6 linked regions of the Macaca fascicularis genome follow. The protein of the gene in region 1 interacts with the protein of each later gene in a pairwise test. Links are inferred from orthologs where the notes say so. Each region holds a gene or a part of one and is shown in the gene's direction. Other genes may lie near its edges.

Region 1 (3,990 bases):
TGCTCAATTCCTTACCTCCAGGCCTCAGTTTTCTTTCTAGGAGAGGTGGGGATTGCCCAAGTCACCCAGCTCTTGTACTCACCCAAGTCACCCATCTCTTGTACTCAATCTGTGATTCTCATTCAGTCAGAAATAAAACGCAGTCTTTGGGGATTAGGTAGACTGCCAGATAAAATACAGTTGCAGCAACAAGAAGTAATTGAAAGTCACTTTTTTAAAAAACTGGTAAAATTACAGGTAATTTTTACTTTGTGTTTTGGTATATTTCACAAATAAAAATTAAGAGACCAAATAACACCTGCTCATGTGGCTTGTGTTCTGCTGTGGTCCTTGCCCATTACTGGCTCTGCATCCATGGACACTCGATTACATAGATAGTAAATTCTGTGATTTAGGTAGACAGGATGTCTGTGGGACCTGATGTAAAGGTCAGAAAAAAGCAGAAGTAGACTTCTCTTCAAATTTTGTTCAGCTTTTTGGGTGTAGTCATTGTTTGCTAAGTATGTTGTTTAATTATCTTTAGGTACCTATTATGTTGCACTTCAGTTTTTAAGAGAGACTTACGATTTTAAATATTTTAAAGCTTTTAAGTATTTTAAAGCTTACTTTGAGGCAGTGTAGTACTACCAGCTAGCACAAGAGGTCAGCAAACAATTACCTATTCAGACTTGGAAATGTTAATATTTAAAAGATTTAAAATTGCTAAAGATAAAATTAGGAAGTACTGAACTTACCATCAGGGGACGTAACATTTTAAATGAAATTGACACAGTCCCTGAGATGGTCAGTGAACACTTTCTAATCAAATTTATTAAACAAGTCTATCTTCTTGACAGCTTTAATTAAAACTGCTTTTATTCACCTTTTTAAAAACTACCTATCTGGGAGTTTTTTTTTTTTTCTTTCTTTCTAATTAGGGTCATTCAGTTGAGTATTTAGTAAAAAGTGTGTTTGCTTTTTAACTATTGTTTGACACTTCCTTGTTTTCCTTAGGTTACATTTCGGACAAGAATCTATCATTGTAATATTAACAGTCAAGGTGTTATTTGCTTGGACATATTGAAAGATAATTGGAGTCCAGCACTAACCATTTCTAAAGTCCTCCTTTCTATCTGCTCACTTCTTACAGACTGTAATCCTGGTAAGGTTAATAATTCTTTACCTTGTTTTATTCTTCCTCACCTGAAAAGTACTTGTTTCCAAAAGCTTTCAAAGGACAAAACTAATTTTTCTGCAAAACTTTATGAATATAAAAACTAATCTGCTTTTCAAAGAAAGTTTTAATCGAGAAGTTCAGTCTACTAGTTGAGACATACAACTTCATTAATCAGTATATTCTAGCAACAAGGTATTTTAAACTGAAGACGAAGTTTGCCTTGGGCTTTTACAGTTTCAGTTATTCTTCCCTCTATTTTTTTTTTTCCTGTTGCTTAATTTCCCATATAGTTCTTATAAAACAAATCATACACTTCTAAATGCCAAGTCATCTGCCTGGCAAGCCTCACCTTGCCTGTGGGGTTCAGTGGGCATGTGCCCATAGCTGGTCACTGAGATGGCACTCAGTTTTGAAAATGGTATTTGTTAAATACTTAGTGACTACTGAATTGTGACTTTTTTGGGACTTCATTTCATTTAAAAAATATTTTTCTGTAGTCCCAGCTACTAGGGTGGCTGAGGTGGCAGGATTGTTTGAACCCAGAAGGTCAAGGCTGCAGTGAGCCATGAGCATGCCGCTGCACAGAACTCCAGCCTGGGTGGCAAAGTGAGACCCTGTCTCAAAAAAAAAAAAAAAAAAGTGTGTATATATATAAATATATATATGTGTGTATATACACACATATATTATTTATTTTCTAGGTAAACCAAATATAAATTTAGTTATTAAAGATCCTAAGATTCAGAGAAATACTATACTTAATTGGAGGTCCAGGTTTTGCCTGGCAACCTGGCTCTTTAACCAGTGTAAAGGTAAATAGTGTTGCATTGCAACAGCCCCGAAGACTTCACAGTATTCACAATGCCATAACTGGTGACACTGAGCTAAGGGTCACATCAACACAGTTGGATGTTCATTGTAGTCTGGAGCCTTGACCGTTCCAGTCTCCACTGAACTCAGCCTAACACATAAGAGTAAAGAAACTCCAATCGGGTGGTGTTTATTGGGAGAAAAATGGAATGAACTAAGATACAGACAGACCAGTAAACTAAAGCCTGAGCATTCCCTCTTCCTCCCATGTTACGATTTTTAAATTTTTGATGGAAAAATATCCGGCATAGTGGAGTGGTGTTTCGAAGATGGGTTTGATCACACATACTTGGTTGTACATGTCTGCCCAAGCTGTCACTAATGTATTTGCTAAAGTTTAAAATGTTCTTTTCCTTTCTCCAAAGTAATCTACATTCTTTTCTTCCAGCCGACCCCTTGGTGGGAAGTATTGCCACTCAGTATATGACCAACAGAGCAGAACATGACAGAATGGCCAGACAGTGGACCAAGAGATACGCTACATAAACTGGGTTTTCACAATTCTTACATTATTTGTCACAGAAGAGAGCTGCTTATGATTCTGAAGGGGTCAGGGAGGGTGGGAGTTGGTAAAGAGTAGGGTATTTCTATAACAGATATTATTCAGTCTTATTTCCTAAGATTTTGTTGTAACTTAAGGTATCTTGCTACAGTAGACAGAATTGGTAATAGCAACTTTTAAAATTGTCATTAGTTCTGCAATATTAGCTGAAATTTAGTACAGAAAAGAATGTACATTTAGACATTTGGGTTCAGTTGCTTGTAGTCTGTAAATTTAAAACAGCTTAATTTTGTACAGGTTACACATATGGCCATTTATGTAAAGTCCCTCTAAGACTACATACTTTTTGTTTAAAACAAAATTGGAATTTGTTTTCCCTTCTTGGAAGGGAACATTGATATTTAACAGAGTTTTTAGAGACTGTCATCTCATATATATAAAATGGACACGTGGCTGTAAGACACCATATAGGAGATGAGTAATGTGTTTTATTTTATATGCCAATCTACTTTGTTTAAAAAAGGTTTAAATCAGGACTTGTGAAAACCTGTAGTGAAATACCTTAAGCTGTTAACTGTAAGGCGTGGAATAGGAGTTGCTCAGTGGATTGGTTATATGTTGTGGACTACTTAAGTCTGCATTTGTTACTGTGCTAATAAACAATATTAAAAACCGCCTAATACTGCTGTGTTCATTTACTTTTATTTTGCCTTTTGGTTGCTGTTTGCAGATTCTTCTGAAATCGATAGGTATCTGCTTCTAAAACAAGCTAAAAATAATGCATATTTAGTAGGTATTATTTACCCATATTAGGATCTGTACTTTACACAGCTGTAGATGTTGAGGTATCCTAGACAAGGTTAAATAATCTACCCCATTTAGGCTTCAAAGACGAACCCTACTGCATTTTTTTTTAAAGCGTTTTCTGACTTGCAGATGCTGTAGTAGCAAGTACATGGGAAATGGGTTCTGTCAGGGATAAACTGGTACACTGCCGTAGGGGGCATTTTGGCAGTACCTAAGTATACACATGGCATGACCCAGCAGTGCTGTTTCTGTGTGTCTTTCATTACAGAATTTAAAAAGAATTGGTAACTCTGTCTGTACTAATATAGACTAAGTTGCATTAGCAGGAAACAAAACAAACTGGAAGGTACTTATTTAAAAATCATTATGAAAGCATTTGTCCATCTATGTAACATGTATGGAGGGAAAAGCTAGATTAATATTCAATAACTGGGGGAAAAGGTAAGGGGTGAGTTAGTGTCTGAGTGGTAATTTTTTGACCAAAAAAAATGAATTTATGATGAGAAATTTTGAAGAATTCTACTGTAGCAGCAATAGCTGATTTATAAGTATTGTCTTTTATATGTAGTAGTTCTTCACTTGAGCTCATGAAAAAAAGTATTCCATTTAAGATGTTACAAATTACTTGATGTTTTAATATGTTCTTTGCTGAATA
Region 2 (5,238 bases), on another chromosome or scaffold:
TTTAAGATTAAATCATGTATATAGGTAGTTTATATACCTATGAATTTCATTTTAGGCTAACAAAGAGCATATTATAAAAACATTTATTAAATAAAGGAATGTTGACTAAGATAAGGTTGCCACTGGATTAGGTGATGCTTAAGATCCCTTCCAGTTTTTACTGTGATGATTCTAATCTTTCATAATGGGAAGGCTTCTTTTTATTTTGTTCTTTTCATTACTTTGTTTATATCCTACTATAAAATTGGTAATATATACAAGAAAAATAAACATACATTTTAAATAAAAACGTCAACCATATTGAATGTTTAGGCATTTAATTACCTAAAGGGAAATCCAAATAATTTCCCAAGTTTCCTTGCTAGGTAATCATTTCATGATTCTATAATTTCAAACTTTGGGTAAAATGTGACTTCATTACATATTTTAATTTTTACCCAAATAACTGTTGTCTCTAGGTTTGATAGTGAGGAAACGGAAACACAGAAAACCAATGTATTGAAAGAATGAGGCCGGGTGCAGTGGCTCACGTCTGTAATCCCACTACTTTGGGAGGCCGAGGCAGGCGGATCACCTGAGGTCAGGAGTTTGAGACCAGCCTGACCAACATGGTGAAACCCTGTCTCTACTAAAAATGTAAAAATTAGCCTGGCGTGATGGCACGTGCCTGTAATCCCAGCTACTCGGGAGGCTGAGGCAGAAGAATCGCTTGAATCCGAGAGGCGGAGGTTGCAGTGAGCCGAGATCGCGCCACTGCACTCCAGCCTGGGTGACCGGTGAAACCCCTTCTCTACTGAAAAACACAAAAAATTAGCCAGGCTTGGTGGCGGGCGCCTGTAGTCCCACTACTTGGGAGGCTGAGGCAGGAGAATGGCGTGAACCCGGAAGGCGGATCTTGCAGTGAGCGCAGTGAGCCTAGATTGCACTATAGCCTGGGAGATAGAGAGAAACTCCATCTCAAAAAAAAAAAAAAAAAAAAAAAAGGAAAAAAGAAATGAGGGCTTCTTCTTATGACATTGAGTTCATAAATTTAAAACTGCAACCTCTTTCCCTACTCCCCTTTCCTAAGTTTTTAAAATCGGTTATGACATACTATGCATTTTAATCACGTATTTTTTAAAAAATGCCTCCTCTCTCCTCTTCCTCATCCCAACATATCACTAGGATGGGGACAGGGAATTTTTTCTATTTTGCTCACCATTGTGTTCTCAATATATAGAAGAGTACCCGGCGGCCAGGAGGAGCTCATTGAGTATTTGCTGTATGAGTGGGTGAAGAATACATGCAATAAGCAAAAATTACTGCTTCGAGCGCCGCTTTCACCAGAGTTCTGGGATGCAAACGGGAGCGACCAGTACATTGACTGACGTTTGTGACTGATGATTCCTCAGTGCTCGTAGAGATTGTGGCTGCATTCATTGTTCTTGGGGATGTGCCGATGTGTGTAGAGTTTGTCAACTTGCACACAGCTGTGCTGGCAGGACAGCGAACTAACACTAATTCGCACAGAGGTCTGCAAATTCTCAAATTCACATCAACCGAAGCACGTTATTGTAAGTGCACGGGTCTTCCGTTCTCTTGGGTAATCTGCACAGAACAATTTAGTATATTTCTTCACCGGCGATTTTACAGTGAAGAAGGTATCAAGGGTGGTGGCCCCCAAATGCGCAAGGACAGGGAAATGAATTAAACGGGCGTCTGTTTCCTCCTTGTTTCGCAAACAGACGCCAAGTCTGTATCAAATTCTTACCCTAGATCAAATCCCGCGCTCTTCGTACCCCCAACCTGCCTCCACCTCCACCCCGCCCCCTTTAGATATCCCTGGTGGGCGGGGCAGAGAAGAAACATTCCGGGCTCCCAGAAAAATTGTCTAGCCTCGCCCCAGTCTTGGGGTCGCACATTTCCAAAAACACCGAGGACACAGAATGACTAGTGAAAACCGCCGACCAAATGACATTGAAGTAGCACACGCGCGCAGAGAAGGAAGCAAAACACGAAGAAAGGCTCAGTCCAGCAGCCACGTGAGGTGGGCGATCTCCTCCGCCCTCTGAGAGAGGACTTCAACTCCCGGCGTGCCCCTGGGCGGTTACCCTCCGAGGACTCCAACTCCCAGGGTGCTGCGGGAGCGGCCACCGCAACCTCCCACTCAGCCGCCCGCCGCTCCTCCCGCCCCTCCCCCGCCCCTCCTGGCCGGATCGGCGTGCGCCTGCGCACGGGAGGCCGGAGGAGTCTTACCCTAATGTAAGATGGTGGCCCGTCTGGCTGTGGAACCCACCGAAAGCTGAGAGTCTCTCTCTCAGCCGTAAAGGTCGGACTCGCTGAAGCAATCAGGCCCGGTTCTGAAGAGTTTTTTCCCCGACGCTCGTTCGGTGGTTTCTTGTGAGGACGCGGCAGCGCGTGGAGTCGGCTGAGGGAAAAGCGAGGCAAGGCAGGCGGGTGAGTCTATGCGGGGCTGGGCTTAGGGGAAACCCGGGGCTGACCGGCTACGAGAGAGCGGAGGCTTCGCTGGGACTGTACAGGCCGCACCCCCCTTTCTCCCCACCCCCCGCCTCATCTTCACCCTCCTCCTCCTTGGTCTTCTTCCTCCTCCTCCTCTTCCTCCCTCTCCTCTTTACGCCACAGCAGTTACCATCAGGAAAAGCGAGCGGGTCAGAAGGCAGCGCGGCGGCAAGCAGCGACTCTCCTTCGAGAATTTCTTTAATTGGGGAGCCGAGGCGGCTTTTGGTCTCCAGCTTTGCCCCCTGCATTTTCATAGGGGCAGGATTCTTAGGTCTCAGTCCTCCTTGTTTCCCCAACCCCCTATTCCCTGTCTGACGTCCTTTCCCACTGGCCCCCGTCTCCCAAGACCAAAGCCATCACTTCCACTCTGACCCGTGTTGCTGCTGCTGCTCGTTAATCCCACTGCTCATTGCCCACCCGTCCTGCTGCTTGTTTTTTGCTCCACTGCTACCACTCTGGAGTTAGCCTTTGCCCCCCTTTGGTGCTTGCAATCAGCCCACAGTGTATCTGCCACACTAGGGCTTCTTCCGATTTGCAGTCTTTCCTTCCACCACATCTGTCATCTTAAAGCTGCCCCTTAAGTGTCTAGATTATGCTTCTGCTCCTGCTAACCCACCTGTTTCTTAGCCTTCTTGAGAATTGTCCGTTCCTTCCCTCTTTCCTGTACAGATCCTTTCCATATACACTTCCAGAAAAAGGGATGCCCCGTGGTGGCCCTTGAAAAGTAAAGGAAGTTGGGAAGTGAATGAAGTGAGGTCGGATAGTATTAAACGTTATGAGTAAAGATCTTTTATTCAGTCTACTCCGGAGGGGACCGTTTTCGTTTTGCTTTCAGTGATCTATTTGTCGCTTATTCGCTCTGTTGTGTTAGGACGTGGCTTTTTTCTTTTCTTTTTTTTTCATTTTGGACCGGTTTTTACCATGCTACTAAGCGTTCTTTGGATTGTCTCTGCCCAGGACACTTCGTGTGGGCTCTGATTTATACTAATATTAACCCCAGCAATTCAAAATAAGATAAATTTGGCGCACATACAGAATTCATCTGTGAACTCCGCCAGCAAATATAAGTGATATTTTGATTATATGTGGGTTATATGTGGGTTCTGTATTGAGACTTGATTTTTGACTGAGTTTTATTGATGTTCAGCTTAATTGATGACATTTTATTTATGATTTGAGTGGAAATTTCCTTTCCAGTTATTATCAGATTTACTTCTTATTTTTGGATTTGGGAAGTTCTCTTGACATTTCTAGGATGATAGTTATCTGAATAAATTGTCTTCTCTTGAAAATCCATTAGGTATGTATGCAAAAGAAAAATCGATGTTTTTATATAAACCTAAGTTTCTCGTATTTTTCTCATAGAAAAGAAGGGGGCTGGGAAAAGAATGACAAAGCTGTGCACATACATGCATTTGGTAGAACTCACTGTCATTGTTATCTACAGTAAAAAGCAGAAAACTAGAAGCAAGAGGTGGCTTATGATGTCCATGTTTTGGTGAAAGCAAAATTAAGATATACTGACTAATGGTATAATGAGAAGAAGCAGCCCTGGCTATAATCAGACCACTGTGAGATAAAGAATTACCAGAAAAGCAACCAGGATTACATAGTGCAAATACATACATCCCAAGTTTGAACATGACATACATGACATTGCATTCTTAAGATATATGTAAAAATGTTGAACATCAGTGACAGTCTCATGTGGCAGTCCATTAGTGGGTTATTGTAATTTTTACAAATTTTACCTGTAAAATTTGGAATCTTAACATTTGGCATTATGTTCACTTGATTGTGATAAATGGTCTGTTTTACCAAATGTAAACTAAGGTTAGAAAACCTGTCTATAAAACTTTTTTCTTTCAGCCACTTAAGCCCCAATTTGGGGGACCAAATAAATACTCTTAGAACTGCAAGCAATTTATATAGCAAACTTTGTCCTAAGTTACAACTTGAGTTTTTTTTTTTTAAATCGCTTACATTAAGTTTATCAGAGGAGTGTATTTAATTGTTGATCTTTAACTCTAAAAAATATACTTTTTGTTGTTGTAATACACTGGTGGAGAAGCTTTCCACTTTGAACAATCCTAACACAGGTTTAGAAACTCTTGGCAATCATACTTGGCTGAATTGTAAGCAGTTGAGTTCTAGGAGAGGACTGTTTGTCTGGTAGAAGGGAGTAAATGATTTTAATACGTCTTTTTTTTTTTTTTTTTTAAATGGTGTTTGTCTCACGAAATATTTTCTCAAGTAATTTTCTCCCCTCATACTTTTTGCTTGCAGTTACCGAATTCTTCATTTCGGCCCTCTGAAGTCAAAAGGAATTTACTTTTGTATCTTTAGTACGTTTAAAGAAGACATCTAAAGTTCTTTAGTATTTTGATAAGAAATAGGGAGCTGAGATTTCTAAATATTTTTGTGTGGTTTAAGTTTTTTGATCTAACGTTATGAACGCTACAGCTTCATACTTTCATGGTTTCTTTTGATAATTTGGAATACTTTCTACCAGGTTCAATAGTAGAATTCTTGAGATCAATAGATTATTTCTGTAAGAATGTTTCGAATATGAATCGCTTAAAGTTGGCCTATTATAAAATTAGGATGAGACAGTTATACTCAAATAACGAAGTACAGAAAAATAAAATTGTTTTTGTATTGCCCTTCAACTTGAGTCTAAAAGGGAGTACTAGCGATAACTTGCAACTCATTACTTTGTTAAAGAAAGAGGGTGTTGCC
Region 3 (4,928 bases), on another chromosome or scaffold:
CCATAGGGGAAGATAAGAAAGTCCGGGCAAAATTCTACATTTAAGAGTGAGAAAATAGGAGGATTGAGGAAAATCCTAATCAAATGCTCTTTTAGTTTCCCCACCCAGTCTGCTTTCCTCGATTATTATTGTAATTATAAAATCATTTGTGTTTTTTTTTTTTTTAATTGAGATGGAGTCTCACTCTGTCACCCAGGCTGGAGTGCAGTGGCACAATCGTGAGCTCACTGCAACCTCCGCCTCCCAGGTCCAAGCGATTCTGCTGCCTCAGCCTCCCGAGTAGCTGGGGTTACACCCGCCACGACGCCCGGCTAATTTTTTTGTATTTTTAGTAGAGACGGGGTTTCACCGTGTTAGCCAGGATGGTCTCGATCTCCTGACCTCATGATCCGCCCACCTTGGCCTCCCAAAGTGCTGGGATTACAGGCGTAAGCCACCGCGCCAGGCCTTTTTTTTTTTTTTCTTGGAGACGGAGTCTCCCTCTGTCACCCGGGCTGGAGTGCAAGGCTTGAGCGTGGCTCACTGCAACCTCCACCATCCTGGATCAAGCGATTCTCCTGCCTCAGCCTCCCGAGTAGCTGGGATTACAGGTGTGCGCCACCACACCGGGCTAATTTTTGTATTTTTAGCGGAGAAGGAGTTTCACCATGTTGGCCAGGCTGGTCTTGAACTCCTGACCTCAGGTAATCCACCCGCCTCGGCCTTCCAAAGTGCTGGGATTACAGGCATGAGCCACCGCGCCTGGCCAAAATCATTTGTTTGCTGAACGATGTGAAGAATATGAGTGAACAAAAAAAGTACTGAAAAAGATGAGTTGATGGCAAAGGGAGGGAATTAATGTTTAGTGCACACTTAAGTGGCGAGTAATGTTCAGAGCATTATATAAACTGTCTCATTTAATCTAACAAGAACCTTTTGAGGTCAATACGTTTTCCCAATTTATAGAGGAGGAAACTAAGATTTATAAGGATCTCATGAATCAGAGAACTCTTAAGTGGCATCACTGGACTTTCGAAAGGAAGTCTGCCTGATGGACTCTAAGGCTCATCCTCTGTCTATCCTCCTAATGCATATAATGACGCATTTGTTATCTACTGACTTTTATAAAATAAACAAGGAGGCTTATGCGATTGTACAGCCCGAGTTCGCAGGAGGTATCTGTTACCACTTTTGATCTGATTCCGGAAGCATTAACAGTGAGGTGCCCTGATCTTTATGTAATTAGCGCATATGATATGGGTATCATTTGTTGTGAAAGACACTAACTCATGATGTTTCTGTTTACGTGTATCTGTAAATATAGTAATTTCTGTGGTTGGTTAATTTTTAGTTACGAAAAAATGAACCAAGATGTAGTCAAGATTTGGCTTAAATGTTGAACGCATAATTACCAAAGAAAATTAAATAATGAGCTTTGTGACACCTTTCAGTTTCGCCAACAGACTGATAAAACCAGTACAAAGGGGGAGGGTCGGGACCGAGGGGGCGGGACGGTGAGAAACGGGAATCGAGCAAGCGCAGAACCAAACAGATGTTAATGGAGGCGTGAAGGCTACTGCGCTCTCACTTTCCGAACTGTCGTAAAGGCCCCTAGTGTCGTGCTCTCCTCGGTAGGGGAGGAATTGGTTAGGCGGCGGCGGCGGCGGCGGCGGCGGCGGCGGCGGCGGTAGGGGAGCAGCGGCAGTGGCGGCGACGGCGAGGAGGTGTTCGGTCTGCGCAGCGTAGAAACGCCCGCAGCTTCAGAGAAGGAGTTCTTGTGGGACCAAATTAGGCATTCTGAACCCACGCCGGCTTAGCTGGGCCGAGTCCAGGCGCTGCCGCACGTACAGTTTTGGTGGCGGTGACAGACACTGCTCTTGACTCTAGGGGCCTGTTAGGCCGACGTCTGAGGCGCAGATCGCTGGCTCTCGACGCATTACTCTTTACGCCTTACATTTCTGTCTTCCTTCCTGGGTCAGTGATTCCCGGACCCTGGAAGAGAAGAGGGTGGCTAATGATTAAGGTGAGGGGAACAGGGGGGAGGGGATCCATTGGAGGCCGCGCGTGCGCGCAACGGGGGAGGGGCCGGCCTGGAGGGGAGAAAGAGGAAGGGCTGCGGCCGCGGAAGGCTGGGGTCGGCGACCGGCCGGTTATCTCTGGCTCAGTGGTGATTTAGGGTCTGGGTCTCCGCAGACGATTTGTGTTTGGGCAAGGCTTTCGTCTACCGACACACCCACAGCCTACATTGAGGAAGTGTGGGTGAGGGGATTTCTCTCCCTCTTCCGACTCTCCCTAGAGTCTCAGGATGGGGGCTGAGGACCGAGGCGTAGGAGTGCGATTTGACAATGGAGTGATGAAGGTAACCCGGACCCGGGGAGTTGGGGGGCGCTAAGTCAGCCCTGACGGCTAGGGAGCCGCCTGCTGCTGCTGTGATCAAGGAAACGTAGTCCGCGGAACAGCTGAAATACAGACGCGTCTGATTTTGTATGGAGTTGTCTTGTTGGTCATTTAAAAAGAAGCTGAATGTTTTTACTATTGTCCTTAGATAATTTATCAGAGACAGTGTCAGTGCTGTAGTGGGAATATCTGTTCAGTGCAGCAGAAATAGATTTGTCACAACAGTTCTTAAATAGGTTATAGTAGATGTTTACAGAGGGTATTTCTCAACCCAAGTGTAAGTTTTGATTATTCAAAAAATACCAGGAAGTATAGGGTATTCATTTAATTTGTTCATGTGTATAGTGTGGGGTGACTCCATTGTATTGTTGTAAGCTTTCCTGTTTTTTGATTTATGTGCGGCATTAATGTAGAATTCTCTTGAATGGTAAGATGCCAACTGACATAGACTACGTTTTGTAGGAGTTCCTGTAGCTTTTGAACCTGACAATCTAAACTTTATTTCATTTGGTATTTTATTTATAATTTTCTTGTTTTAGGGGCCTCTTCAACTAAAAAGAACAAACTGGGAAAAGATAAGCTAAGGTTCCATTTCCTTTCTCATTTTTGTTTTTTTTGTGTGTGTGTGTGTGATGCTTGTAAATGCTTGAATGTGATTTTGAGATTACCATACACAAGTTCTGTAACACTGGACTTAGCTTTATTACAGTAAAGATACACCTTTTGATCGTTTGTTACTGTATGTATTTTTGTAAAAATCTTCATGTCAATATAAGCCACATTGTTTCACCCTAGTCTGGTTATGTTTGTGAGGTAAAACAGATGGATAAGAAGGAGGTCCTTTTACTTTTAAAATAATTTTATGTTGATTTTTTTTAAAAGCCTTGATTTATCTTATTTTGGACACTTTCTTGCCATTTAACCTTGGACAGATGACTATCATCTCTCTCCTGCTCATTTGTTTGTGACCAAAGATTCACAATAGTATTCTAAGAATTGATGAGGGTGTTTGTAAATTGGTCTAAATAATATTATAGGAAAAAGTAGGAAGAGTGAGTCTCCCCTTGTTTATCACGAGTGCTATATCATGTGCAGATCCTTCTGTCACTTTTTAACTTTTGTTTGGTGTCTGTTGGCCACATGTTTGCTAGTTATTTCACCTGACATAGAATTGGTTTTTAAAGAAAGATATAAACAAAGTGACTCCATTTTGGTGAAAAATGCATTACAAAAGAGGTTACACCTTAACGAATTTCACTGTGGTACTCCGTTTCTACAGATTATTGAGAGAGAGCTATTCTAATGTTTAAGAGAACAGTACCTTGCTTGTATAAAGCTAAGGTATAGTCATTTAGCAGATACTCCTAGTTATTTTACTTTAAAATAAAAAATATAAAAGAAACTAATTGAATCAAACCGTTTAGATTTTTAGATGCTTTTGTTGTTGTTGTTGTTATAGTTTAAAGAGGGGTTTCTGTATTATGCTTTACTTGAGGCATACTTACGTGCCCTTCTTTTGCCTTTTTCTCCCCTTTTGGGCTAAGACTTCAGTAGGAAATAAAAGAGACTATCTGAAAAATGATAGAAGTTAAAATATGTTATAACCTGACATTAACATTCTATGGGTAACATTATCTTATGAAATAATATAGGACTAGAGACAGAAGATCTAGATTTTAGATCTATCTTTGCTTGCTATACATTAGATCCCCGAGTTTATTGTTAACCCTCCTTGGGCTTCAGGTCTCTCTGTTTAAGTGAGAATTGTAGAATAGATAACTGGTTTTCTCTAGGTCCCAAATCTAACGGTTTGTATATCTAGTTAGGTTTTTGGTATTCGTTGTTTTATTCTTCGTAATCAAATCCCCGGAAAGAAATGCTGTACAGAAAGCATCAATTTCCTCATGAAATGTGTGTGTGTAAAACCTATGATGAAACTGAGGGCCAGGTGTGGTGGCTGACCCCTGTAATCCTAGCATTTTGGGAGGCCAAGGCGAGTGGATCACTTGAGGTCAGGAGTTCGAGACCACACTGGCCAAAATGGTGAAACCCCATCTCTACTGAAAATACGAAAAATTAGCCAAGCTTAGTGGTGTGTGCCTGTAGTTCCAGCTGCTTGGGAAGCTGAGGCAGGAGAATGGCTTAAACCTGGGAGGCGGAGGTTGCAGTAAGCTGAGATCGTGCCACTCACTGCACTCCAGCTTGGGCAACAGGGCGAGACTGTTTTTCAAAACAAACAAACAAACTATGATTGTTGTTCCACATATTATTGTTATTGTTGTCCCATTGTAGATATTAATTACTCAAGCTTTAATAGCTTTCAGATGGTACTAAAAATGAAATTTTTTATTACTCCTGGTAACATTTTAAAAATCATCCTGAATAATTTGTTTTTCTTTCAGAAACCTGTAATTATTGTTCAGTAAAAGTCCACAATTACATTTGGATGTCTTAAACCTCTGTTTGCTTCTTTCCTACATCCTACAGATTCTTGGTAACAGCTGGCTCAGGTTTCTACAGGTACTCAATTTATGTCATTACATGAGGAGTGA
Region 4 (4,925 bases), on another chromosome or scaffold:
TTGTTTTTGTTGAGACAGAGTCTCGCTTTGTCGCCCAGACTGGAGTGCAGTGGCCAGATCTCAGCTCACTGCAAGCTCCGCCTCCCGGGTTCACGCCATTCTCTTGCCTCAGCCTCCCGAGTAGCTGGGACTACAGACGCCCGCCACCTTGCCCAGCTAGGTTTTTGTATTTTTTAGTAGAGACGGGGTTTCACCGTGTTAGCCAGGATGGTCTCGATCTCCTGACCTTGTGATCTGCCCGAATAATGACCATATCTTAACATGATATTGCATATAAAGCACTGAGTACCTTTGTTTTTCCATTAAATATGTGTGTTTGTGTACATAGATACACGATGCATGTCTTTATATGTATACATATATTCTCCATTTGTTTAAAAACTTGATTCCCATACCCTAAGAGTGATGAAAATCATTACATAAACGACTTATTGCAAATAGTGAAAAATGGCAAAGTATTTATTTCTGTAGTTTCATAAAACACCACTTGCTATTATTTTCAAGTAGAGACTAGACATTTTCAAAATGGGAGTCTCAGAGCAGGCTATTCCCTGGGTATCCAGACCCCACTCTGCCGTGAAGAGACCACACCAACACCGAGGAATGCACTGAAGAGAATTTTATTACATTCAATTTTAGAGAAGTTATAGGATCTTAAAGATGCAGGTGCCCTAGGATTTAACACAAAAAGTCGGCCAGGTGCGGTAGCTCACACCTGTAATCCCAGCACTTTGGGAGACCAAGGCGGGTGGATCACTTGAGGACAGGAGTTCGAGACCAGTCTGGCCAACATGGTGAAACCCTGTCTCTACTAAAAATACAAAATTAGCCAGGTGTGGTGGCACGCGCCTGTAATCCCAGCTATTCTGGAGGAGGAGGCAGGAGAATCGCTCGAACCCGGGAGGAGGTTGCAGTGAGCCGAGATCGCACCACTGCACTCCAGCCTGGGTGACTGAGCGAGACTCGGTCTCAAAAACAAAAACAAAAACAAACCTGAAGTCCAAAAAAGCAAGAGACTCGGTCTCAAAAACAAAAACAAAAACAAACCTGAAGTCCAAAAAAGTAAAATAATTTGCTCACTACACATAATTTAGTTTGGTGTTGGGCCTAGATCTTAGGTTTTGTGAGTCAGGTGCAGCATTCCTGGCACGACGGTTTTTGCCCTACCACGGAAGGTCAAGTTGGATTATCCCGAGTTCTTCCAACTCTGCGCTTCCTCCCAGGTTGGTGTTTCACGAGTGAGTCTAATTCAGATCAAGCTGGCTTTTGAGATTCTGTTTTTTAAATCAGTGTGTAACACCAACACCCACCGAAACCAAATGGCTCTGGGCACAGGACACAGCCATTCACGCCCCCTGCCAGGAAAAGCTGCAGCTGACACAGGCTCCTCCAGCGTCGGCGGGCCACATGCGGGAGGAGGGGCCGCCTTCTGGTTGGCGCCGGGTGTCCGTCCCTCCTATCAGCGTAGGCCCCGCGAGGAAGACACGGGCTCGCCCTGGCTGGCGGGGCGGGGCCAGACACCTGTCCATCACCGAGTCCACGGGTGGCAGCACCTACCACACCGCAGTACCTTGGAGAGGCGGAGCAGGGGCGGGCAGGTCGCGGCCAGGGGAGGCGGAGCAAGGCCGGCAGGAGCCAATCGGCCCGGCGGCGCGAGGGGGCGGGGGCGGGGTCACCGCGCGCGACCCAAACACACGGGCTGGGCGCACCCTGCCGCCGCGCCGCTCCGCGGTCTTCCGGCGCGAGGGCCAGGGCACCTCCTCCCCTCTCGGGCACCCCCACCTTCGCGGCCCAGATCCTCCCGCCAGTCCGGCCCCTCCTTCGCAGGGGGAGCGAGGAGACGGTTGCCGGGAAGCGCGCGCCACCCCTCCCTCCCATTCTTCGTCCTCCCCTCGCGCGCCACCCGTTTTTCCTCTTTCTCCGTTAATAACAGCTGGGTGGCTGGGGGAGGAGGGAAGGTGGCCCCGGCGGAGTCTGGGCCGGCGCCTCCCACTCAGCCGCCAGCCGCCGTGGGAGCCGGAGGATGGCGGCGGTAGCAGCGGCCGCCCGAGAGGAGGCGGTGCCGAGGCCCGGGGCGCCGAGCGCGGCGGCAGAGAGCGGCAGCAGCCCGTCGTGGCGCACCAGAACCGAAACCAGCGGCAGCCGCACGGCCACCTGAGCCGCCCGTTCCTGCTGGAGCCAGCGAGGGGTGCCAGCCGCCGGGACCTCTTCCTCTCCGCGTCTCTTCGTCTCCTGCGCCCGCGTCAGGCCGCCGGCCTCGCCTACTGCCCCGAGAAGAGCGCGCCGGGCGCCGACTGCCCCTCGGGGCGCCGGGCGGCGGCCCTGGACGTGCGGGGGCCTCTCTGGGCCGGCCGCGGCGCCTCGGCCCTGCCCTCTAGCTCCTGCGCTCGCTCCCGCCCTCCCGGCTTTCGGGGCGCAGCGCGCGGGCCCGGCCCAGGGCAGGGCGGACATGGGCGCCAAGCAGAGCGGCCCGGCCGCCGCTAACGGCCGCACGCGCGCTTACTCGGGCTCGGATCTACCTTCCAGTAGCAGTGGAGGGGCCAATGGGACCGCGGGCGGCGGCGGGGGCGCTCGGGCTGCCGCGGCTGGGAGGTTCCCGGCTCAGGTGCCCAGCGCTCACCAGCCCAGCGCCTCAGGCGGCGCCGCGGCGGCCGCGGCGGCCCCAGCAGCTCCGCGCAGCCGCTCCCTCGGCGGGGCCGTGGGGAGCGTGGCGTCGGGGGCCCGCGCGGCACAGTCCTCCTTCAGCATCCCGAACAGCAGCAGCGGCCCTTACGGCTCGCAGGACTCGGTGCACAGCAGCCCTGAAGACGGCGGCGGCGGCCGGGACCGGCCGGTGGGCGGGAGCCCCGGCGGGCCGCGCCTGGTGATCGGCTCCTTACCAGCTCACCTCTCGCCGCACATGTTTGGAGGTACGGACCCCTCTCCGCGCGCCCGCGCTCGGTCCTCCCGCGGCTGCACGTGGGTCGTGGCCGCCGGCTATTTTTACCCTTCTCCTTTTCTCCTTCGGCGGGGCAGGTCTCCATCCTGGGAAGAAACCCCCGGCACTTAACTCCTGCGGTGCCGCTATCGCGTAGACGCGTGGTTTGGTTTTTAAACATCGTGAGCACCCTCACCTCAGCGGCTCCCCGGTAGAGAAAGTCTGTTTTCCATAGAGATGACTGGAGCAAATGTTGTTTTACAACAAACAGACGAAACAGCCCTTGTGGTTGTGGCTTTTAGTACCAGGAAGTCAGGAGGAGACCCTTTGCTAAATGTAGTTCTGTCTGGGGACTCAGTGGGGAACAGTTTTTAAAGGCCAAAAGTCAAAGGGTCTCGAATGAACGCTGAGTTACCATCTTTGGACTGACTTTTAATATAAAGCTATAATCCTTAAATCTGTGTCAGTCCCACTTACTATGTCACTTTAGTTGTATGAATGCGTTAATGAAAAGTTTGTTTTTAAACCTCACTAAACCGCTACTTAAGGTCACAGTTAATGTGAGTCCTACTTAATTTGGAAAACATTTAGAAAATGGAAAAATTTCCTAAGGAAGTAAAAATTTTGCAAATCAGCCTACTAGGTTCTTTTGAAGAGCAGTGTTGACTAGAGTTAAGGAAAAGTCAGTTGTGAAAAATGGGCATTTTTAATAGCAAAAGATGGCTTTACTATAGAAACAGGAGGAAGGGTGCATTGTCCTGGGAAAATGAATTCTTCTTCAGTTGTGTTTTATGCTGATCTACTTTATTGCAAAACGCTAATAGTAAATGAATCAAGACCACCTCCCCTCCCCGATTTATGAAAATAAATACAAATATAGAAGATAAGCATTCCCATTTCATCGCATTATGCATCCGATATTAGAAGAATTCGCAGCTGAGCACAGATTAGCAGCGAAAACAGCATCCCCTACATTTTTGTGCCTCTTTTACTCATGTGTTTGTAAACGTAGGAACTTTGAGTGGAGACTTAGTAAAGTGGAATACATAGTAATTTATCTCTTCTAATGTTCTGTACTATCAGCATACACGCCAGCATAAATTAAAAATAAGAATGTCATGTTTAATTTTTCCCATCTTTTAGTAACGCTTTGCACATTCAATATGGAATGATGCTTGACTTTTAATTAGCTACCTTGTTTTAAAGTAATTTTTGCTGCTTAAAAATATGCATCCCTCTTAAAATTGGGCCATTTTAAAAAGTCATTTGCTTTTGAGTAAAGGAAATCTACTGGTGTCCTTAAAGTGATTTGATCACAACTAACCTACCAGTTGAAGTTGCTGTAGTCCACATTGAAGAATATAAAAGGCAGTTTCTGAGAATTGGTGATTAGTGTGAGATTGAAGAGCAAACTGGTTTTTAATATTTATATTTTTAAAGTGAAAATTTGCATTTAGCAGTTATCAGAAGGTGAATATTTAAGTTTGCTAAAGAAGGGTGAATAGGAAAAGCCTTGTCAAGTTAATAGTTAATATTTATTTAATATGCTCATTTTTAAAAATTCATTTTCTAAGAGCTGATAATTCCCTTTGAGAAACATTATATTTCTGTGGGTTTATTTTGTTAAGTAAATGCATTCCGTTCAGAGCAAGGGACAAACAGTTGAGCTTCATGCTTCCTAGTAAATGAGTAAATCAAAATACCTAGTTGCTTAAAGTTGGAGATAAAGCATTTATCTTTTTTCTTATCTAAGTTCTAGGTTTGTGCACTCACTATAGTTCTTTTAGTGCTGTTGGGGTTGGGTGACTGGGACCTAGTAGTACAGTGACAGTTTCTGAGGAACTTATAGCAGCGTGTCTCAACCGGCTTTGTGGAGAGAATTGTGCTGTAGTGTGCAATGCATTTTAACTTTTAGCTCCAGTGCATTTAGGACGGTTTTAGTTATGTATCATTCTTGGAACAGTTGAGAAAACAGTCACTGAAATAATTTCCTGTGTTTGGTGATTCA
Region 5 (5,217 bases), on another chromosome or scaffold:
GTCTTCGGGAAGTTTTCCATCATCTTCTAGAATCTGAAAGAGCTCTCCCTCAGCATAGTCTGTCACCACCACCACCTACAGAGAGAAGGCAGTGGCACTGATGGCTCCAGATTCATATATTCTGAGGTTGGGAAATTCCTGGAACCCTTGTGCTTGGGGAGACAGGGCCCAAAACTGTCAAAGCACACCTCTTTGTCAGTTTCAAAGCTGTCAAGCATATGCACAATGTTGGGATGCCGCAGACCCCGCATTATTTCAATCTCTCGTTGCAAATTCCTCAGCTCCTTCTCTGAGCGCCCCAATTTTGGGATGAACTTCAGGGCCACGACCTGTCAGTGGTAAGGTGAAAAGTTAATGCCTAATCACACTACTGAAAAGAGCCAGAATTTCAGACTTAATCTCAGAGCTCCAGAAGTCAGACTTTAGAGTGTTTGAGTAACTCTTATTATTTCTGTCAGTCTCCCGCTTCCATTTTCTCCATGGTACCCTGGCCGTATCCAGGCTTTCCCCACTCCTCATCCCAGGAGGAAACAGCATGGGCAAAACATCTCACCTTCTAGGAGAAGTGTTCTGATTTGACCAAAGCAGTCAAGATGAGATTTAGGGGAAAGGAAAGGAAAAAAAATTAAGAGGAAATAATAGAGTTCAAGTGGTTTACCTCTTACTACATGGTGTGCTAGAGACTAATAATAATAATATTTGTTGTTTACTAAGAGCCAGGCACTGTACTAACTGATTTAATGTGACAACATACTTAATCTCAAATGCCATCAATCAGTTGCTGTTCTTATCCCCATTCTAGAGATGAGGAAATTGAGACATAGAGAAGTTAAGTAATTTGTCCATAATTCTAGGGTTAGAAAGCGGTGGAGATGGAACTTATACCCAAATAATACAACTTCAGAGCTTATACTCCATAAGAAGTATGAGAGAGTCAATGCCTTAGGAATATAAACTGGTATACATACATCCCTTCTAGACCCATTTTCCACTGGAGTTGGGGGTACCAAATCCCACCCAAAAGGTATCCCTCTTTGTACAATACCTGAGCACTGTATTTTCTTCGACCCTTGTACACCCTCCCAAAAGAGCCTTCTCCAATCATCTCCAACACGTGGTACTTTTCCATGACAGAGGTTTCAGAATCTCTTAGAAGGAAAAAGGTAGAGACGGTGAAGAGCTATAGATCCAGGGACAATTCCACAACATCTGGGAGGCCTAGTTGGGGCATGGGAAAGGAAAAATGTTAGCCACCTTGCCTTTTCTCTTTTTCACAAAGACCAAGCCTCAAAAAACATGGGAGGGTAGAATGACGCAAAGGTGATGCGATCTTGGAACAAACACAGCATCTCTTTGTAGTTCCTCTCCACTTTCAGCCTCCTGTCCCCAACCCGGCCCCATGCCCACCTGACACCTGGTCCCCCTTCTCCCTCACCCAGCTTGGCCCACTCGACCCTGCTCTCTTAACCTAGCATCGCCCACCCAACCCTGCTCCTTCGAGTCTCCCCCAAGTTCCTGCCACTCCCAGATTCCTCAGCACCTGCTCTCAGACCCCCTGGCCCATGCGCTTCGCAAGCCAGGGTCCCTCTCTCATCCCCAGCCTAGGAGATCCAAGCTCCTCAGGCCCAGGGACGGATTCCCTGGCCTTTAGCCCCATATCTTCTGGCTGCCTGCATACGTTGCCTGACTTACAATTCTTCTCCACCCGCCCCTCGCGCCAGTCTGTTTTGGCTCCCTTTCTAACAATTTCACTCGCTAGAACTGGTGAGAAGTTCAGAGGACAAAGGCGCTCAGAGGTGTGGGAGGGACGGCGGACCACACATGGGCACTTCCTGGGACGCATCCGAACTGCCTCTGGGCCGTCAGGCCCGGCTAAGGACCCGGAGTCTGCGGTTGCCTAGAAACGACGCTAGCTGCCCACCCCTCTTAGTTTTCCGCCTCCGACTTCCCTAAGGGCATTTCCGGTTCCGGCTGCGGGCCGGTGAAGACATGGCGGCGTCTGCGTCTGCAGCTGCAGGGGAGGAGGACTGGTAACTTCGGGGGCATGGGCTTTGGCTGACAGTCTGGATCTAGTCCAGAGGCCTAGCAGCTGTCGCAGACGGTCCGTACGGCGGGCGTGTGGGGTGGAGCGAAGGATGAGGGATGGCAGAGATGCTGACATCTCCTCTGGGAGATCTTCTAGACTGGGGAACGGGAGGGTGGAGGGGCGCTGATCTGAGTGAGAAGAGACCGGGTCTGCGCCCGCCAGACCAGTTCAGGCCTCGCCTTATCCGGTTCGATCCCCTTTCCTCCAGCTTCACGCTATCCCTTTCTATGCTCCTCAAATGAATTTTCTCAGGGGCTTTGGGGGATGCCTGCCCGTCAGACCTCCCCATCTCCCTTTCGCCTCTCAGAACTAGTGCCCTCCGGTTCGGTACCCCTTTCTCCTTGGATCAGCGTTTTTCCGCCGACGCTTTCCTCAACCTTCTCTCTCCCACACAGCACTAGTGAGGACTATTGTCTGAATAAAGCTTTACACCTCACATAAAGTCCCTCTAGTCCTTCTCTCAAGCATTCTTAACTAAAGACTAGAACATGGAAGGACTCTGGGATTTGGAAGTAGGATCAATGTGGGTTAACTCCGCATTTTATTAGCTGTGTGATGCTGACCAGGCCATCTAGCTTCTGTGAGTCAGTGTCCTCAGCTGTAAAAACAAAGTGGGTGTGGTATTTACCTCAGAATAGTTGAGAGGATCACGATGGATTTGTAATATACTTAAGTCTGTTTTTTTGTTTTGTTTTGTTTTGTTTTGTTTTTTGAGACAGAGTCTCACTGTCGCCCACGCTGGAGTGCGGTGGTGCGATTATGGCTCACTGCAGCCTCAACCTCCCCAGGCTCAGGTGATCCTCTTGCCTCAGCCTTCCAAGTAGCTGAGGCTACAGGTCTGTGCCACCATGCCCAGCTAATTTTGTATTTTTTGTAGAGACAGAGTTTTGCCATGTTGGCCAGGCTGGTCTTGAACCCCTGGGTTCAAGTGATCCTCCCACCTCAGCCTCCCAAGGTGCTGGAATTACAGGCGTGAGCCACCACACCCGGCCTCCTTTTCATTAATAACTGAGGTGCAGGCACCTGGGAAGATTAGATGAGCCCCAAAGAAGTAAAGTGATTTGCCAAAAGGTGGAAAATTGCGACTAGAAATCCACATCTATCTGACTCCACACCTTAGATTCTTTATACTAGGACATTCTTCAATCCCCTCTCCCCCATTTTGTTGTCACCACCTTACCAGCATCCCATCCAGGACCCACATAACTAGGGTAGGCAAAGTATTGAAGGGCCACTTGACTGAGGCTACACCTCAGTGTTACATTGGTTCAGGGAGCCCTGCTAGTACTGGCCTTTATTAAGACTATCTAGACTACTGGTTTTCAAAGTGTTCAGGGAAACTTTTTCTTTTCTTTTTTTAAGAGACGGAGTCTTACTTTGTCACCCAGGCTGGAGTACAGTGGCAAGATCATGGCTCATTACAGACTCAACCTCCTGGGCTCCAGCGATTCTTCTGCCTCAGCCTCCCAAGTAGCTGGGACCACTGTGTCCAGCTAATTTTTTATTTTCTGTAGAGATAGTCTCGCTTTGTTGCCCAGGCTGGTCTCGAACTCCTGGCCTCAAGTGATCCTCCCACCTCAGCCTCCCAAAGTGCTGGGATAACTTATAGTTGACCTGTTCAGGGGAACTTTTAAGATTCAGGGGAGACACCTTGAGCCATGGAGAGAACAACAGTGAGTGCAGCAGCCTGTAGTGCTGTGAGACTCCCATCCCATGTCAGCCAAAACTACACTATTTTCTGTGAGGTGTAAAGCTTTGTATTTTATATTTTGAAGTTTCTGCCTAAGACTTAACAACAACTGACATAAGTCATGCTGGAGCAGCCTTACTCTTAGAATGAAGAGAGAGCAGTATGAGAAAGGAAAGTATGCATTTTTCCATGTATCACCTGGTAGAGCTGTAGACACAAACTGATCACTCAGCTTCAATTTCAATACAACTACTGTTTCTATGCTTAAGCATGTGTGTCCTCTGATTTACATCGGAACATGGATGCTAACCTCAACAGGCTGATGTAGATCAACCAGACAGCCAGGGTCATAAATACATCCAGAGTACTCTACTACCTCCCTCCTTCCCTCTTCCTTCTAAGGGAGAAGGTTATATACAGACGGGAAGAAAAAGAGGATGTAGACTAGCTACTATAGCCCAGATACTATTAGGTACTTTATATAAACAAATCACCTTTTATCCTCATAGTAACCCTAGAGAGTAGGTGTTATCATCTATATGTGATAGACAGGATAACTTAAGCTTACAGAGAGGTCACTTCCCAGATCGCATAGCTTGTAAGTGATTGGTACCTGTTACTAACTCCGAGGCTGCTGGCTTTTCCATTACAACACAGCCTTTACACCACCCTAGACCTGTTGTGTTGAGGTTGCTATCTCCTTTAAGAAGGCTTAGGGTGACTGGTGTTAAAAGTGTATGTAGACGGTAGCCAAGGCACTGGGATCCACACTGGACATTGATGTAGGGAAAGGCTGGAGTAATATTGGTAACGTTAATGCTAGTAAATGGGTGCCATACCTCTAGACCAGAAAGTCAGCCACTAAGGGGAATGAAACTTAAACAGGGAGTCAGGAAACCCGACTCTGGGCCCAGTTCTACCTATGTTAAGCCTTGGTTAGTCATTTTATTTTTCTGGAATCCACTTCTTCATCTCTTGGCAGAAATAATGCTTAAAATTCTGATTTTTGTGCCTCCTATTTGGCCAGTTGAAAACTTAAGGTAACATTTTCCTTGTTTTTAAGGAGTTTAGCAGGAAAATGCATTCTGGTAGATTGCCATTTTTCTACAAAGCCCGCGTTTATTGGCCTTAGCAGGCTTCCACAGGGAGAGTTGTAATGGAAAGTCAGTCTACTCCTGTCTCTCTAGGGTCCTTCCCTCTGAAGTTGAAGTGTTGGAGTCCATCTATCTGGATGAACTACAGGTGATTAAAGGAAATGGCAGGTATGTATTCAACCAGCGGTGGGCAGGAGTCCCCCTAGTAATGAGGAGAGGTTCTATGCCGAATCTGGGTCTTAAGACAGTGTAAGCCTTGATTCAGAGATAATATTTCTCTTGTGTAGACAAAAGCTATTCCTTTAATCCTACCCCAAAAGAAAGAGTCCAATATGTACTTTCTTTGC
Region 6 (4,903 bases), on another chromosome or scaffold:
TGTTGCCCAGTCTGGAGTGCAGTGATGTGATGTCAGTTCATTGTAACCTCTGCCTCCCGGGTTCGAGCCATTTTTCTGCCTCAGCTACCCAAGTACCTGGGACCATAGGCGTGAGCTACCACACCTGGCTAATGTATTTATTTTCTATTTTTAGTTTTTTAGTAGAAACAGGGTTTCACCATGTTGGCCAGGCTGGTCTCAAACTCCTGACCCCAGGTGATCCCCCCCGCCCCCCGCCCCACTCCGTCTCCTAGAGTGCTGGGATTACAAGCGAGTCACCATGTCCTGGCCTGATTTTCAAATTTTTAACAGACTTTTACTCAGGAGGCTGAGGCAGGAGAATTGCTTGAACCTGGAAGGCGGAGGTTGTCCAGCCTGGGCTACAGAGCAAGACTCCATCTCAAAAAAAAAAAAAAGAAAGAAAGAAAGAAAGGAAAAGAAAAACAGGCCAGGTGTGGTGGCTCACGCCTGTAATTCTAACACTTCGGGAGGCCAAGGCGGGCGGATTACCTGAGGTCAGGAGTTCAAGACCAGCCTGGCCAATATGGTGAAACCCTGTCTCTACTAAAAATACAAAAAATTAGCCGGGTGCAGTGACACGCACCTGTAATCCCAGCTACTCAGGAGGCTGAGGCAGGAGAATCGCTTGAACCTGGGAGGCGGAGGTTGCGATGAGCCGAGATTAGGCCACTCCACTCCAGCCTGGGTGACAGAGTGAGATTACGTCTCAAAAAAAAAAAAAAAAAGAAAAAAAAAGAAAGAAAAAAAAGAAAAAGAAAAACAATTGTTCGCTGAATGAATGTGAATATAGGAGAGAAAGACGGACTGAGGTATCAAAGGAACCCTCCCTTGCAAAATGATGCAGGCTTGGTCAACAATACACCTATTGAGTACCCACCGTGTCCTTGGCCGTGGTGTAGGCCGAAACACAGAACATGGTAAACAAAACAGGGCTCCAACCTTGGACAGAAGGTTTCTATAATCACTTCTAGCTACGTTGTTCTATTTCCATATCCATATCTATTCACATTTTATGGTACCTCTATTGGTTCTGAAAATTACATTTTAGCTAAGGAATCTACTCATTTGCTTAAGCCCAAAATAGGAAGTTCTGACCTAGTGTCAGCAACACTCCGGATTCACAAGTGTCCCCATGGCGCTGTTTACCCCCAAATAGCTAAACCCCGCCAAATGTTGAGATTCCGGACCTGAGGGGTGCTTGGATGGGGAACCCCCGAAAGAATGGACATCACGTCCACCAGAGGGTGCTGTGGGGGCAAATTTGTGCCAGGAGGGGAGCTCGACTGGTGACCCTCAGAGCCAGGTAGGCGTAAGGAGTAAATCTCCTTCTTCCCGGTGTTTCCTTCCCACCCCCTCGAACCATTGCTGCCCCTCCCCCATACGTGGTTCCCCCTGAATAATTTGCCATTTTCGGGGACTTAAGAAGTGTTTGCTTTTCAAAGACATCTGGTTTCTGTGGCTAACGCCCAGTGGCTCAGGCCGCCCAGGTCACAGGCCGGCCGGGGGCGGGCGGTGGGTGGGGACTGCTGGGGCGTCAGCTGCCCGGGCGCCGCAGGGGCCGCGAAAGGGTTAACCCGACGGGGGGAGGGGGAGGGGGCGCAGGCCGCGCCTGCGCTCTGCCGCCCTCCATTGTCTCCACGGCGGCCAGGAGCGCCGGCAAGCGCTGCCCGGGACCGAGCGGGGTGGCGCGGCTGGCGGGGCCGGCGGCGACTGAAGCGAGAGCGCGACACGACGCGACCGCGGCTTCCCGAGCTGCGCCTGGCCGCCCAGCGCCGCGGCCCGCCCGAGGCCTGGAGAGGTCCGGGCCGCCGTCCATGGTCGCGGCGTCCTGAGGCGGGGGACGCGCCTGGCGCCCCCGGTCCTCCTCCTCCTCCCGCGGGGCGGGCGGCCTCCTCCGGCGCCTCCCCGCGCCCGCCTGCCTCTCGCCGCCGCCTCCCTCCCTCCTTCCCTGCGGCTCCCCCGGCTTTCGGAGCCCGGGGGCGGCCTGTGGCGCGCGGAGCCCGCGCCGGACTGCGCCTCTTTGGACCTTGAGGGGAAACGTGCGTTTGGCTTGGATCGTTTGAAATTCTGAGTTTGGGATCCCCGTCCGCCCGCCTGCCTCTTCCGCCCCGCGGGTTTTTTCCTTTTTTCTTTTGCTTTTTTCTTTTCTCCCTTCGGGTCTCCTTTTTGACTCCCTCCCTCTTTATGCTCGCCCAGCCCTCCCCCCGCTGCTGAGAAGTGGGGGAGGGTCTCGGCCTCCAGGTTCCCGCCCCACCGGGGCCCGGGCGAGCATGGGGGGCAAGCAGAGCACGGCGACCCGCTCCCGGGGCCCCTTCCCGGGGGTCTCCACCGATGACAGCGCCGTGCCGCCGCCGGGAGGGGCGCCCCATTTCGGGCACTACCGGACGGGCGGCGGGGCCATGGGGCTGCGCAGCCGCTCGGTCAGCTCGGTGGCAGGCATGGGCATGGACCCCAGCACAGCAGGGGGGGTGCCCTTTGGCCTCTACACCCCCGCCTCCCGGGGCACCGGCGACTCTGAGAGGGCGCCCGGCGGCGGAGGGTCCGCGTCCGACTCCACCTATGCCCATGGCAATGGTTACCAGGAGACGGGCGGCAGTCACCATAGAGACGGGATGCTGTACCTGGGCTCCCGAGCCTCGCTGGCGGATGCTCTACCTCTGCACATCGCACCCAGGTGGTTCAGCTCGCACAGTGGTGAGTCCACGGTGGTGGAGGCCTCGGAGGGAGGGCGCGCCGGGGCGCCCCAAGCCTTCGCGCGCGTGCCAAGGTTTGGGAATATAGTGCACGACCGGGATCTGTCTGCCTTCCCTTTGGTTCCCGATGCCAAGGGATGAATGGGATACCTACCCTCTGGAAACTAGGCTTTCTGCAAGGTTGCGGAGCCTGGCGATGTAGGACTCCCGGCGTGTGTTCACTTGTGGAAGGGCAGAGCGAAGCCTACCTATTGGAGTCCCATTTATTGGCATCTCCCTCCTCAGAGAAGCGGTCTTCTCTGGCTGAGAGCAAGTCAGCCTGGGTGCTTCCATTCTGCCACTGCAGCACTGTGCCTGCCTCACCAGTAACGGAGAGATGGAGCCAGTTGGAGCAAGCAGTGTCTCCAAAACAGAGAGTATGAAAATGAAATAAAATTAGGGGCGAGTGATGCCTGGATTAGGGCTCTCACTCTTGCTGGGAGAGAGAGGTGCCCAGTTTTGCCACCCTGCTGGAGATCTGTTTGAAATGTTTAAAATGGAGCAGCCGGCAGGCGGCTGGCATAGACAGGTGTGGCTGCTGTACGGAGGGCCCAGCCGGCGAGTCTCGCGGGGGCTTTGCAGGACCAGGGCTCTGGTCACCCGTACTGCATGCAGCAGACTTGGCTCCACGACTCTCACCTCCCTCCATCTTTTTTCTTCTGCTCCATGCTAAGTGCTTGGTCTTCCCGTGAATCTGCATCTTTTTGTAACAGGGAGCCTGTCAAGGTGGGGCATTATTGCCTGACTGTTGGCACATGACTGGGGGAAAGGAGGATTCAGAGAATCTGGATGAATTCATTTTATGAACTTCTGGTGACAGGCCAGCAAAAGGTTGGAGGGGGATTTCCCAGGCTCCTACTGGGAGGGCTAAAAAGGCCTGGCAGGAGGAAAACAGGTCTGTCTGCTAGGTCAGGCTTCTAGAAAATTGGCCAAAAGGTGTGTGGGGCCGCTGTTTGCTAATTGGCAAGTTGAGTGAATAACTTACATCTTAAGTTTCTTTTGGGTGAGTTGGGAAAATTTAGATATTGTGTAGGGGAAAGATTGCTCCTGCCTTTAGGGTACTTTATGGAGGGTAATATCTCGTGGATCACTGTTTTACCTACTGTGAAATAGGGTTGACTTTTGGGGTATCGCTTTCCCCCTCCCTGCAAATATCCTGGGGTTTGTTTTCATTTGGTTCGGTTTTTTGTCAATTCTATAAACTATGTGAAATAGAGTTGGGGGACGAACTGTTAGTGACTAATTTAGGGTAACCCTTAGAAGTAGCTTGTGAATTGTTAGGATGATATTTTAATCTCTGAACAGACCTCCGGATATCATTGGAGCTTTTCTGACCTCATCGAACTCTGACCTGAATGAGATGCAAAACATGATTGCCTTTGGCTCTTTCAGGCATTTGATCAAAATTAGGCATTTTGAAATTAATAATCTTTCCTATGAAATTTAGTTCAGAGAGTTAGCCATATTTTTGAGATGACTGGTTAGGTGTTTAAAAGAACTGTAATGAGCATCTGGTTTTGAACTTAAAAGCACTATACGAAGTTTCTCTAAAATCACAGAATTTTGTGTGTTGAAAAATATGAGATATGTAGGGAGGAAGAAAGGGAGTTTTTTTTTTTTTTTTTTTTTTTTGCTGAAATTTCTTCAGTCTGTCTCTTACTAAAAATTTATTTATTATGCTACTGCCAGGTTCCATGCTAAAGTTATGAGCTTATAATTGGATTCCAGAATTTCAGTCCTAAGCTGTGAAAGCTTATTTTTTTTCATCCTGTTATGGTGAGAGTAGGGAGAGCCACTGAACTGTGGGGACAGGAAAGTTGGAGCACATTAATCCTTTGGGGAAGGGTGTCAAAAGCGTGTATGGGAGGCTGCTATTAATATTGTAGGTAATCTGTTCCTTACTGTGTAGGACCATCATGTCCTTCTGCAAGACATTGAGCATGCCTGGCCCCACCTACTAAATGCTGATAGCATCCAGCAGTTCAGTGTGTCACCCCAAAATGTCCCCAAGAACTCCCAAATGCCCTCTGGGGTGTGGGTGGTATCACTCTGGTTGAGAACCACTGCTTTAGGGATTTATTCTTTTATTTACATAAAGTCATTAACTTTTCCTGTGCAGTTCATTTGAGATGAACCTTCGTGTGCAGCAT

Evidence for each region.
Region 2: the proteins of UBE2E1 (region 1) and CNOT4 interact in a two-hybrid assay, tested with the Homo sapiens proteins (2 studies listed by BioGRID). The link is inferred for Macaca fascicularis from reciprocal best matches to the Homo sapiens genes UBE2E1 and CNOT4.
Region 3: the proteins of UBE2E1 (region 1) and RNF111 interact in a two-hybrid assay, tested with the Homo sapiens proteins (2 studies listed by BioGRID and IntAct). The link is inferred for Macaca fascicularis from reciprocal best matches to the Homo sapiens genes UBE2E1 and RNF111.
Region 4: the proteins of UBE2E1 (region 1) and ZNRF2 interact in a two-hybrid assay, tested with the Homo sapiens proteins (2 studies listed by BioGRID). The link is inferred for Macaca fascicularis from reciprocal best matches to the Homo sapiens genes UBE2E1 and ZNRF2.
Region 5: the proteins of UBE2E1 (region 1) and RNF25 interact in binary tests that used the Homo sapiens proteins (3 or more experiments, as listed by UniProt). The link is inferred for Macaca fascicularis from reciprocal best matches to the Homo sapiens genes UBE2E1 and RNF25.
Region 6: the proteins of UBE2E1 (region 1) and ZNRF1 interact in binary tests that used the Homo sapiens proteins (3 or more experiments, as listed by UniProt). The link is inferred for Macaca fascicularis from reciprocal best matches to the Homo sapiens genes UBE2E1 and ZNRF1.

What each region holds. Positions count from the first base shown.
Region 1 is NC_088376.1:24,464,429-24,468,418, reverse strand, and holds the end of UBE2E1 (ubiquitin-conjugating enzyme E2 E1), read left to right. Parts: intron 1-993; coding exon 994-1,141; coding exon of another isoform or gene 1,142-1,260; exon of another isoform or gene 1,261-1,629; intron 1,630-2,414; coding exon 2,415-2,512; 3' UTR 2,513-3,208; downstream 3,209-3,990. UniProt on the Homo sapiens protein: Accepts ubiquitin from the E1 complex and catalyzes its covalent attachment to other proteins. Catalyzes the covalent attachment of ISG15 to other proteins. Mediates the selective degradation of short-lived and abnormal proteins.
Region 2 is NC_088377.1:177,181,447-177,186,684, reverse strand, and holds the start of CNOT4 (CCR4-NOT transcription complex subunit 4), read left to right. Parts: upstream 1-2,222; 5' UTR 2,223-2,436; intron 2,437-5,238. UniProt on the Homo sapiens protein: Has E3 ubiquitin ligase activity, promoting ubiquitination and degradation of target proteins. Involved in activation of the JAK/STAT pathway. Catalyzes ubiquitination of methylated RBM15.
Region 3 is NC_088381.1:35,459,028-35,463,955, forward strand, and holds the start of RNF111 (E3 ubiquitin-protein ligase Arkadia), read left to right. Parts: upstream 1-1,595; 5' UTR 1,596-2,002; intron 2,003-2,047; exon of another isoform or gene 2,048-2,338; intron 2,339-4,928. UniProt on the Homo sapiens protein: E3 ubiquitin-protein ligase. Required for mesoderm patterning during embryonic development. Acts as an enhancer of the transcriptional responses of the SMAD2/SMAD3 effectors, which are activated downstream of BMP.
Region 4 is NC_088377.1:99,987,616-99,992,540, reverse strand, and holds the start of ZNRF2 (E3 ubiquitin-protein ligase ZNRF2), read left to right. Parts: upstream 1-1,688; 5' UTR 1,689-2,449; coding exon 2,450-2,909; intron 2,910-4,925. UniProt on the Homo sapiens protein: E3 ubiquitin-protein ligase that plays a role in the establishment and maintenance of neuronal transmission and plasticity. Ubiquitinates the Na(+)/K(+) ATPase alpha-1 subunit/ATP1A1 and thereby influences its endocytosis and/or degradation.
Region 5 is NC_088386.1:114,598,852-114,604,068, reverse strand, and holds the start of RNF25 (E3 ubiquitin-protein ligase RNF25), read left to right. Parts: upstream 1-1,957; 5' UTR 1,958-1,989; coding exon 1,990-2,030; intron 2,031-4,963; coding exon 4,964-5,038; intron 5,039-5,217. Other genes in the region: STK36 (serine/threonine-protein kinase 36), read right to left, coding at 1-75, 189-329, 1,046-1,129. UniProt on the Homo sapiens protein: E3 ubiquitin-protein ligase that plays a key role in the RNF14-RNF25 translation quality control pathway, a pathway that takes place when a ribosome has stalled during translation, and which promotes ubiquitination and degradation of translation factors on stalled ribosomes.
Region 6 is NC_088394.1:70,818,358-70,823,260, forward strand, and holds the start of ZNRF1 (E3 ubiquitin-protein ligase ZNRF1), read left to right. Parts: upstream 1-1,649; 5' UTR 1,650-2,291; coding exon 2,292-2,715; intron 2,716-4,903. UniProt on the Homo sapiens protein: E3 ubiquitin-protein ligase that plays a role in different processes including cell differentiation, receptor recycling or regulation of inflammation. Mediates the ubiquitination of AKT1 and GLUL, thereby playing a role in neuron cells differentiation.